Linked DNA regions of Coturnix japonica. The protein of the gene in region 1 purifies or fractionates together with the protein of each later gene. This does not show direct contact. Links are inferred from orthologs where the notes say so. Each region holds a gene or a part of one and is shown on either strand. Other genes may lie near its edges. The genes, in order: SIK2 and PPP2R2A.

Region 1 (3,819 bases):
TCAGATAGGAAACTTCCTCGTCCTGAAACAGCTCTTCACCTCTAGGAATAACTTCCCCTTTTCCTGTCATCATGACACAGCTGAGGCTATGGACAAAAATGAGCCATTGCTGCTGAATGCTTCTTCCTCCTCTCAATGTGGTGAAGGAGTTGCTGGATTTTATGGATTTCCAAGAGGTTTTTCTCTGAGCTTCCCAGGACCTGGTGAGATGTGTGGGAACTGAGAGTTCAGAATAGACCAAGCTATCTAATCTGCATTTGACCACAGAGCAGTGGTGCCAGCTGCTGCTGTGCTGCTCTGCACGTGGAAGACTGTCACTGTTTGAGCAGAGATAACTTTCGCACTCAGACTTGTACAAGGATGGTTAATAGTTCTTTTTCTTTTAGTCCAGGCAGCCACTTGCTTGGCATGCATGAGGAGAAAAAGAAGCTGCTGTCAATACCTCCAGTTGCTGAGCGTGGTGCTGTGTCAATCCCCAGTTAGGCTGCCATGCACTTTAATACTAACCAGGGCCAGCAGGATTTATTGCACTACATGAGGCCAATGAAGGAGGCAGGGGCTGTCCAGAGGGCCTCACCTTGTTGCTGGCCTGAAGATGTGCCACTGGCGTGAGGCAGGAATACAAGGTAGCTGCAGGTGATTGTTGGTTTGTAAATAAGAAAGAGTGGTTTCCCTTTCTCTTAACTTCGGAGGTCACTCCATGGCAGCTGCTGAGCAGACAGATGGTGGAGAAGGAACAAGAAACCTTCTCTAGGGGATTCCAGCGAGAGCGGAAAACAGAGAGGAAGTGGAGAAGTGAGGCTTGGGCTTGTTAAGCATTTTGTCCAGCTTAAGTGGTTTACTTTGTTATTTTGTAGCTTTCTAGTGAAGTAGTGAAGGGATTTCTTCCTTGTTCCTGGGAGCAGAAGAAAAACCGAGTTCACGAGGTGTGATCTACCAGTTTGTGGAGACTTGGAGCTGTGGGTGCATGCAGCTCTTAAGCTGCACCAACAATGCTCACATCCCTTGCTCTACAGCAGTCTTCCTCCTGCACAGCACCTGTCTGCTATTGCTCCACACCTTGTAAACCTGGTCATCATCAGAAGTGATGACTTACATCGCTTGCTCCCACATCAGCATTAATAAAGAGATCTTTAGGATGAATAAACATCACTCATTATTTAGTAATCTTCATATTCCAATCCTTTTCATGTTTTTTAGCAGCTGTATATTTGTTACTCCTTGATTTTTAAGAAAAAGTGGTGGTCTCTGAAGCAAGTGCAGTCCTCTGTAACTTGTTTTGCAGATATTGGCTAAAAACAAAGCCACGGGAACCAGGATCTGTTCTCTAATTGTGATCTGTTGGTGAGATCTGACCTGGAGACATCTGCTTCATGGAGCATATAATGCTATAATGTAATGGAAAGTACAGTGATAATAGTGGGGTGGCAAATTCTTTGGCTACAGCAAATGAGGACAAGCCCAAAAGCAGCAGCCGTAGACATAAAACAAAAAGGGGAGGGGAGGAAAGCAGCTTACCTTGGGAAGGCCTCAGGTAGGCAAGGATCTCCAGCAAGATACTTTTGCCTCCACTGCTGACCCTTAAATGAGGGCTTGGAAGGGCTGAATGCTGGCTCCAGCCATTCCATCACTCAGTACGTTGCATGTACCTCAGCTGCTCTGGGCTGGCTCTGTCTTCTCACCAGGTGCTCCGTCGCTGTTTCAGGGTGTGATTCAGCATTTCTGCTACAGAGCTTTTTCCTTGACTGGATGAATTGTGGATGTCCGTGCGTAGCAGCATATTATTTGAAGTTTAAATAAGTGTCTCATTAGAACTATGTGCACCCACCGTGTCTTGATTCTGTGTCGAGCCAATGCTTTCTCTTTTCCAGTACCATTTTTGCAGGTGTGGAGTTGGAATGCTGCTGGCAGAGCATCCTGTGAACTCCCCCGTGGCACTATGGCCATGTCTTGGGCTGTGCTGCTCCATGTTTAAAGGCTGGGGTGTGGGATATGTGTTTCTGAGCTAGGAGAAAGCTCCCATCTATCTGAGATCATGGTACTTATAATGAGGATAAAGGAGTCAGTGAGAGCTGTAATTTCTCTTTTGCTTTTTGGCTGCAGGTAGCAATAAAAATAATAGACAAATCTCAGCTGGATGCTGTGAATCTTGAAAAGATCTACCGTGAAGTGCAGATAATGAAGATGTTGGATCACCCCCACATCATAAAGCTCTACCAGGTATGGCAGCAGTGCCTCTTCGTTTCTCACTCTTTGCTCCTGTTTGTAGAGTTCACCTCCTGCATTCCTAAAAGGCAGATAACTAGTTCTTTGGTAGGCTTATTCCTGCTGTGCAAATGCTCTCCTCAGAACTGGTTAGGCAACGTGAGAAACTAAACTTTATGTCCAGGACAGGCTTCCACTTCTTTTATACTGGAGGAAAAAAATTGTAAATGAAAGTATTCATGTTGGTTTGGTGGCTCTTTGCTCTTCTTGCAATTAATATAATGTGGTGCTTCTCTATCAACAGGTGATGGAGACCAAAAGCATGCTATACCTTGTGACAGAATTTGCCAAAAATGGAGAAATTTTTGGTAAGTAAGAGAATGTTTTCACATCCAGCTAACTGCTAACTTCTGCACTTCGTTAATTGCATTGATTTTGTTGAGAGCCCTTTTGTGTGTGTGTGTGTGTGTGTGTGTGTATGTGTGTGTCATTTTTCTCTTATCTGTCTGGAAAAGCTGGGTAGAAAGAGATGTTATTCATGGTGCTGGATGGTAGTGATAATACAGTATTTAATAGCAAAAATTATGTTCCCAGGAATAATATAAAGTGGCTATGATAGTGAACTACAGCGGGGGTTTTGACCTGAAAGTTTGTTTAAACTGGAGAAAAGAATCTGTGTCACACAGACAGAGGAGAGAACACTGTTGACATGCATCCTGGTTACAAGCTCTTACTTTCTGTCCACGGAGTAAAGCAAGTGGAATCAGAAGAGTTTCCTGGTTGCTCCAGGATGCCTGCTCAGATGTCTGAAGCAGTGTTAGTGTTCTTTGTGTAGATCTAGAAAAACAGTGTGGCTACTACTGTGGAAAGCCAGTCACTGACTGGTGATATATATAGCATCTTTCTGTAATTGTGAGAGATGGAGTTAATATGTAATGAAAAAATTATAAGAGATTGACATACTGGTATGCTGTCATCAGGAGTACTCTGTATATCACATGTACTGTTGCATGGTTTAGGAATTGGACTGAGCTTTGTAAATGCTGATTTCATGACTTTATGCTTGACATCCAGGCATCTTGAGTTTTCCTATTCATTTTAGTGGCAGTCACAAAATTGGAGTTGCTGAGAAAAGGTTTCACAGTCACTCAATCAACACTGCCTGGCAGAACAAACTCTGAGGGGCATTAGAATAGAGTTCACCATGGGGAAGGCCCTAATGATTGGAGAACAGAAGAGGTGGAGCCTGACTTAAATTCATTTCTTGCACTGTGGGCCAAGGGGTGAATTTCATGAAAACAAATCGAATGGTTAAAGTCCTTTCTTCTTGTTTGGTTTATCTTCTTTTTCATCTTTAGGTCCTTATCACTGGACTGTCTGTTGTAAGCAAGATAGTATATCTAGGACAACTTTACCTAACCGGGAAGTAGAGAAAATCCAAGGTGGTATTCAATAAAAGGAGAGAGAGAGAAAAGCAGAAAGGAGACCAGAGCCTTGTGAGCTTTTCCTCATTTCCTGGAAATGTTTGAGGGCTGCTGAAATGAGTGCTGCTCCTTGGTCATGAGCTTCATTCTTATTAGGATGTAGGAGGCAATTCTGAATCCTTCCTGATGG
Region 2 (3,819 bases), on another chromosome or scaffold:
TTTTTTTCAAGCTTGGAGTTTTTTCAGTGTTCCAAACAGTCCCACCATCCTTAACAGGCCAGCTGCAGCTGTGACTTGTACTAGCAAAGATGTATTCATGAGAGAGCTGAATGTAGCACTGAATAGATTTGCTTCACAAGTAGCTGTGTTTCTGTTGAGGAAATATCCGCCTTAAACAAAAGGTGGGAAAATTAATGATGAGGGAGTGGTAGACTTCTTGTCTTCAATCAAAACTGAAGTTCTTGCAGTAGAGATGATCCACCTTTAGTCTGATCTGCAGGCTTGTTAAAATAAGGCCAACTTTACACCAAAGGATCCTTGCACCAAATGTGGTGTTGACGGTGGTGGAGTGTAGAAGTCTCATCCAGCTTATGTGTTAATTAGCAGTTTGCCTGTGTATGTTGCTGCATAAATATCTAGTTCTGGCTTCTCTCTACAGCCTTGCAAAGCATTTTGTATGTTGCATACCTACCTTGATCATTTAATTCTCTTTTTAGAACAAAACCCAGTCTCACAGTAGGGGAGAATACAATGTTTACAGTACCTTCCAGAGCCATGAACCTGAGTTTGACTACTTGAAAAGTTTAGAAATTGAAGAAAAAATCAACAAAATTAGGTGGTTACCCCAGAAAAATGCTGCTCAATTTTTATTGTCTACAAATGGTAAGCGATGACTTTAATATTTGCATAACCTGTTGTTGCATGGGTTGGCTGTTAGGGTGCGAGTACTTCCATGAGTCATTCATAATAATCTAAACTGAAACTTGCTCTAACTTTGTTAAAAGAACAAACTGTGGAGGAGGTCTCGTTAATGCTTCTTATCCTGTCTTGTTTTCTTTGTGTAATCTTGAGATGAAGCAAAACGTGTATCTAAATGAATTCCTTATCTCCAAGTATTTTTTTTGTCTTTTTGGTACGTGTAGGTGGTCTTGTTTGAAGGCTTTGTGTTAAAGTGAATCAGCCGTGAAGACCAGTGTCATGGCTAGAGCTTTGATTTGCAACTGTGGCTGTTTAATTTCAGATAAAACAATAAAGTTATGGAAAATCAGTGAAAGGGACAAAAGACCTGAGGGCTATAACTTAAAGGAAGAAGATGGACGGTATAGGGATCCTACTACAGTTACAACACTACGGGTGAGTGGTTCCCTGCATGAATTTGGCCATCACTGTTTCCATTTGGGGCCACGTGAACGTGCATTTGAGAGGTGTTGTCTTTCCTGAGCTCACGTGGCTCAGGGAGTGAGTGCCCCATCACACGGTTCACGTTCTCTGTGATGCTCCAGGTATTGTCTGCTGGAACTCTTATTTCTGTGCCTGCTGTTCTGCAGACACAGTTGAATAATGATTTAATGAGCTTTAGAGTATTGAAGGACTGTGCTAATGCCTACATTACATTCACAATTCAAACTTTGATTGCTATGTATTTTGCAGGTGCCAGTATTTAGGCCCATGGACCTCATGGTTGAAGCTAGTCCACGAAGAATATTTGCCAATGCTCACACGTATCACATCAATTCCATCTCCATTAATAGTGATTATGAAACGTACCTGTCCGCAGATGACCTGCGGATTAATTTGTGGCACCTAGAAATTACGGACAGAAGTTTTAGTATCTTTTTTGCATTGTTTTGTATGGCATATGTGTTTAAAACAAAAAAGTTTTATATTTCATGAGACGTGTTTGTGTAGCATGGCTTTGGCTTCCAAGTGTTGTCCTGCTCCCAGATTTCAAGCATTATCTTCCTTTTGTATTTTTGTTGGCTTGTTTTAGTTCTGTTTGGCTGTTTCAGATGTATTTTGATGAATTGTTGAATGCCTTTAAACTGAAAAATATGTTGTGGAAACCGGAGGAAATTCCTTAACAAAATGGTTTAGATATTGTAGATATTAAGCCAGCCAACATGGAAGAGCTGACGGAGGTGATAACAGCTGCAGAGTTCCACCCAAACAGCTGTAATACATTTGTATACAGCAGCAGTAAAGGAACGATTCGTCTGTGTGATATGAGAGCATCAGCACTCTGTGACAGGCATTCAAAATGTAAGTTCTGGCCTGTATTTATCTTTTGTGGACTGTGGTATCTTGCTGCTAGATGAAACGAAGCACTCACTAAGTATGTATTAAAGCAGGGAGTAGCATTAAAATACTGAGTGATATATTTTTAGATAGGATTGCTGTGGTATCTTTGGTAGATAGAAAACTAAAAATCTAATTGAGTCTTAAAATTAGATTCCTATTTAGTAGAATAAAAGTAGTGAATAGAATTATTAGCAACTTAAGTCCAGACAGCAGGGCGAGGAATAATTTCCTGCAGACTTGATGAGTATTGGAGCTGCTGAATTGTTTGTTCTGCATATGAATCCAGAAATCTCGTGTGTGAATGAAGCCTCCAAATACTCCCAAGCAGTTGGCTTGCTTAGAAGTTAACCTTGATTTGCAATGACAACGAAACATTTCACAGTATTTCCAGGTATAGCAATTACACAAAACCTTTGAAAAAGGGTTTTATAATACATAAGGTATTATAGCGCAACATGGAAAGTGTATTGTGCTTAAAATAACCTAAATTGGGTGTTATTTTGTATTGGTAATATAGAAGCTTACCTCTTGAAATGCCTGCTTTACTTCTTTGCAGTGTTTGAAGAACCAGAAGATCCTAGCAACAGATCGTTTTTCTCTGAAATCATCTCTTCCATATCCGATGTCAAATTTAGCCATAGCGGTCGTTACATGATGACTAGAGATTATCTGTCAGTGAAGATCTGGGATTTAAATATGGAGAACAGACCTGTGGAAACATACCAGGTATTTGGCTGAAATATTGATGGACACTTGATGGTCTTATTCCTAGTCCTGATGTAGCTGTTAGATGTATCTGTAAGTGACTACGGCCAGACAGAACATCAGTGAGATGAGTGGGTTTCACACACATTAATGGATTTTGCTATTTGCAGGCTGATGGCAGAACCTCAAACCATGTTTTGGTGTGAAAGTGTCCCTCTTATACATTGGAAATATGGGAAGGGAAATTTCCAGCTGTGAGGTAGCTCATCTCTTTTAGCCTTCAGTTGATTTCACAGTGTCCTGTTATTTCCTGGAGTACTTGGAGGTAAAACCTTTGCTTTGTAGAAAAAGTTTTTAGCTAGAACTGACACTTGTTGAATTTCCAAGCTACTTTTGTAAGAAAACTTTTGAAGGGATCCTCTTCATCATCCATAGAAAGGCGATGGGTCACCAAAACGGGACTTCTAGGAAGCAGCCAGGTTTGCCAGATGCTATTCTAGAGGTTATTTTACAGGTATGTCATGCTCAATATTAATTGTTCTAACTTTTTCCCAGGTGCATGAATACCTCAGAAGTAAACTTTGTTCACTGTATGAAAACGATTGCATTTTTGACAAATTTGAATGCTGCTGGAATGGATCAGACAGGTGAGTGCAATGTTTCTCTATATGTTTGCAAGGCTTCACAAGTTGGTATTGAAACAGGCAGACAGCCTGAAGCCTCTAATGTATTTTGCTTTTATTCCTGGATTGGCTTGGATGCTATTCTTATAATTGCTGTCCAGGTATTTGAGATAAATAGACTTTAACATGTGTGTTATAAGTGACACAGTAGCATGAGGTTATTGGGAATTGCCTTAGTTAAGCAGATGAAGAATTGGAATGATCTTCAATGGAACTTTTCCTTCTTTTCCTCTGCCCTTCTCTGCAGCATTGTCATGACAGGATCCTACAACAACTTCTTCAGAATGTTTGACAGAAACACAAAACGAGACATCACCTTGGAGGCATCACGGGAAAACAACAAACCCCGCAC

What was found.
Region 2: the proteins of SIK2 (region 1) and PPP2R2A purify together in Homo sapiens (affinity purification with mass spectrometry; 3 studies listed by BioGRID and IntAct, with this or other methods). This does not show direct contact. The link is inferred for Coturnix japonica from reciprocal best matches to the Homo sapiens genes SIK2 and PPP2R2A.

Annotation. Positions count from the first base shown.
Region 1 is NC_029539.1:45,890-49,708, forward strand, and holds part of SIK2 (serine/threonine-protein kinase SIK2), read left to right. Parts: intron 1-2,103; coding exon 2,104-2,220; intron 2,221-2,509; coding exon 2,510-2,573; intron 2,574-3,819. UniProt on the Homo sapiens protein: Serine/threonine-protein kinase that plays a role in many biological processes such as fatty acid oxidation, autophagy, immune response or glucose metabolism.
Region 2 is NC_029537.1:1,754,923-1,758,741, reverse strand, and holds part of PPP2R2A (serine/threonine-protein phosphatase 2A 55 kDa regulatory subunit B alpha isoform), read left to right. Parts: intron 1-497; coding exon 498-663; intron 664-1,021; coding exon 1,022-1,134; intron 1,135-1,431; coding exon 1,432-1,609; intron 1,610-1,875; coding exon 1,876-2,040; intron 2,041-2,635; coding exon 2,636-2,805; intron 2,806-3,339; coding exon 3,340-3,431; intron 3,432-3,714; coding exon 3,715-3,819. UniProt on the Homo sapiens protein: Substrate-recognition subunit of protein phosphatase 2A (PP2A) that plays a key role in cell cycle by controlling mitosis entry and exit. Involved in chromosome clustering during late mitosis by mediating dephosphorylation of MKI67.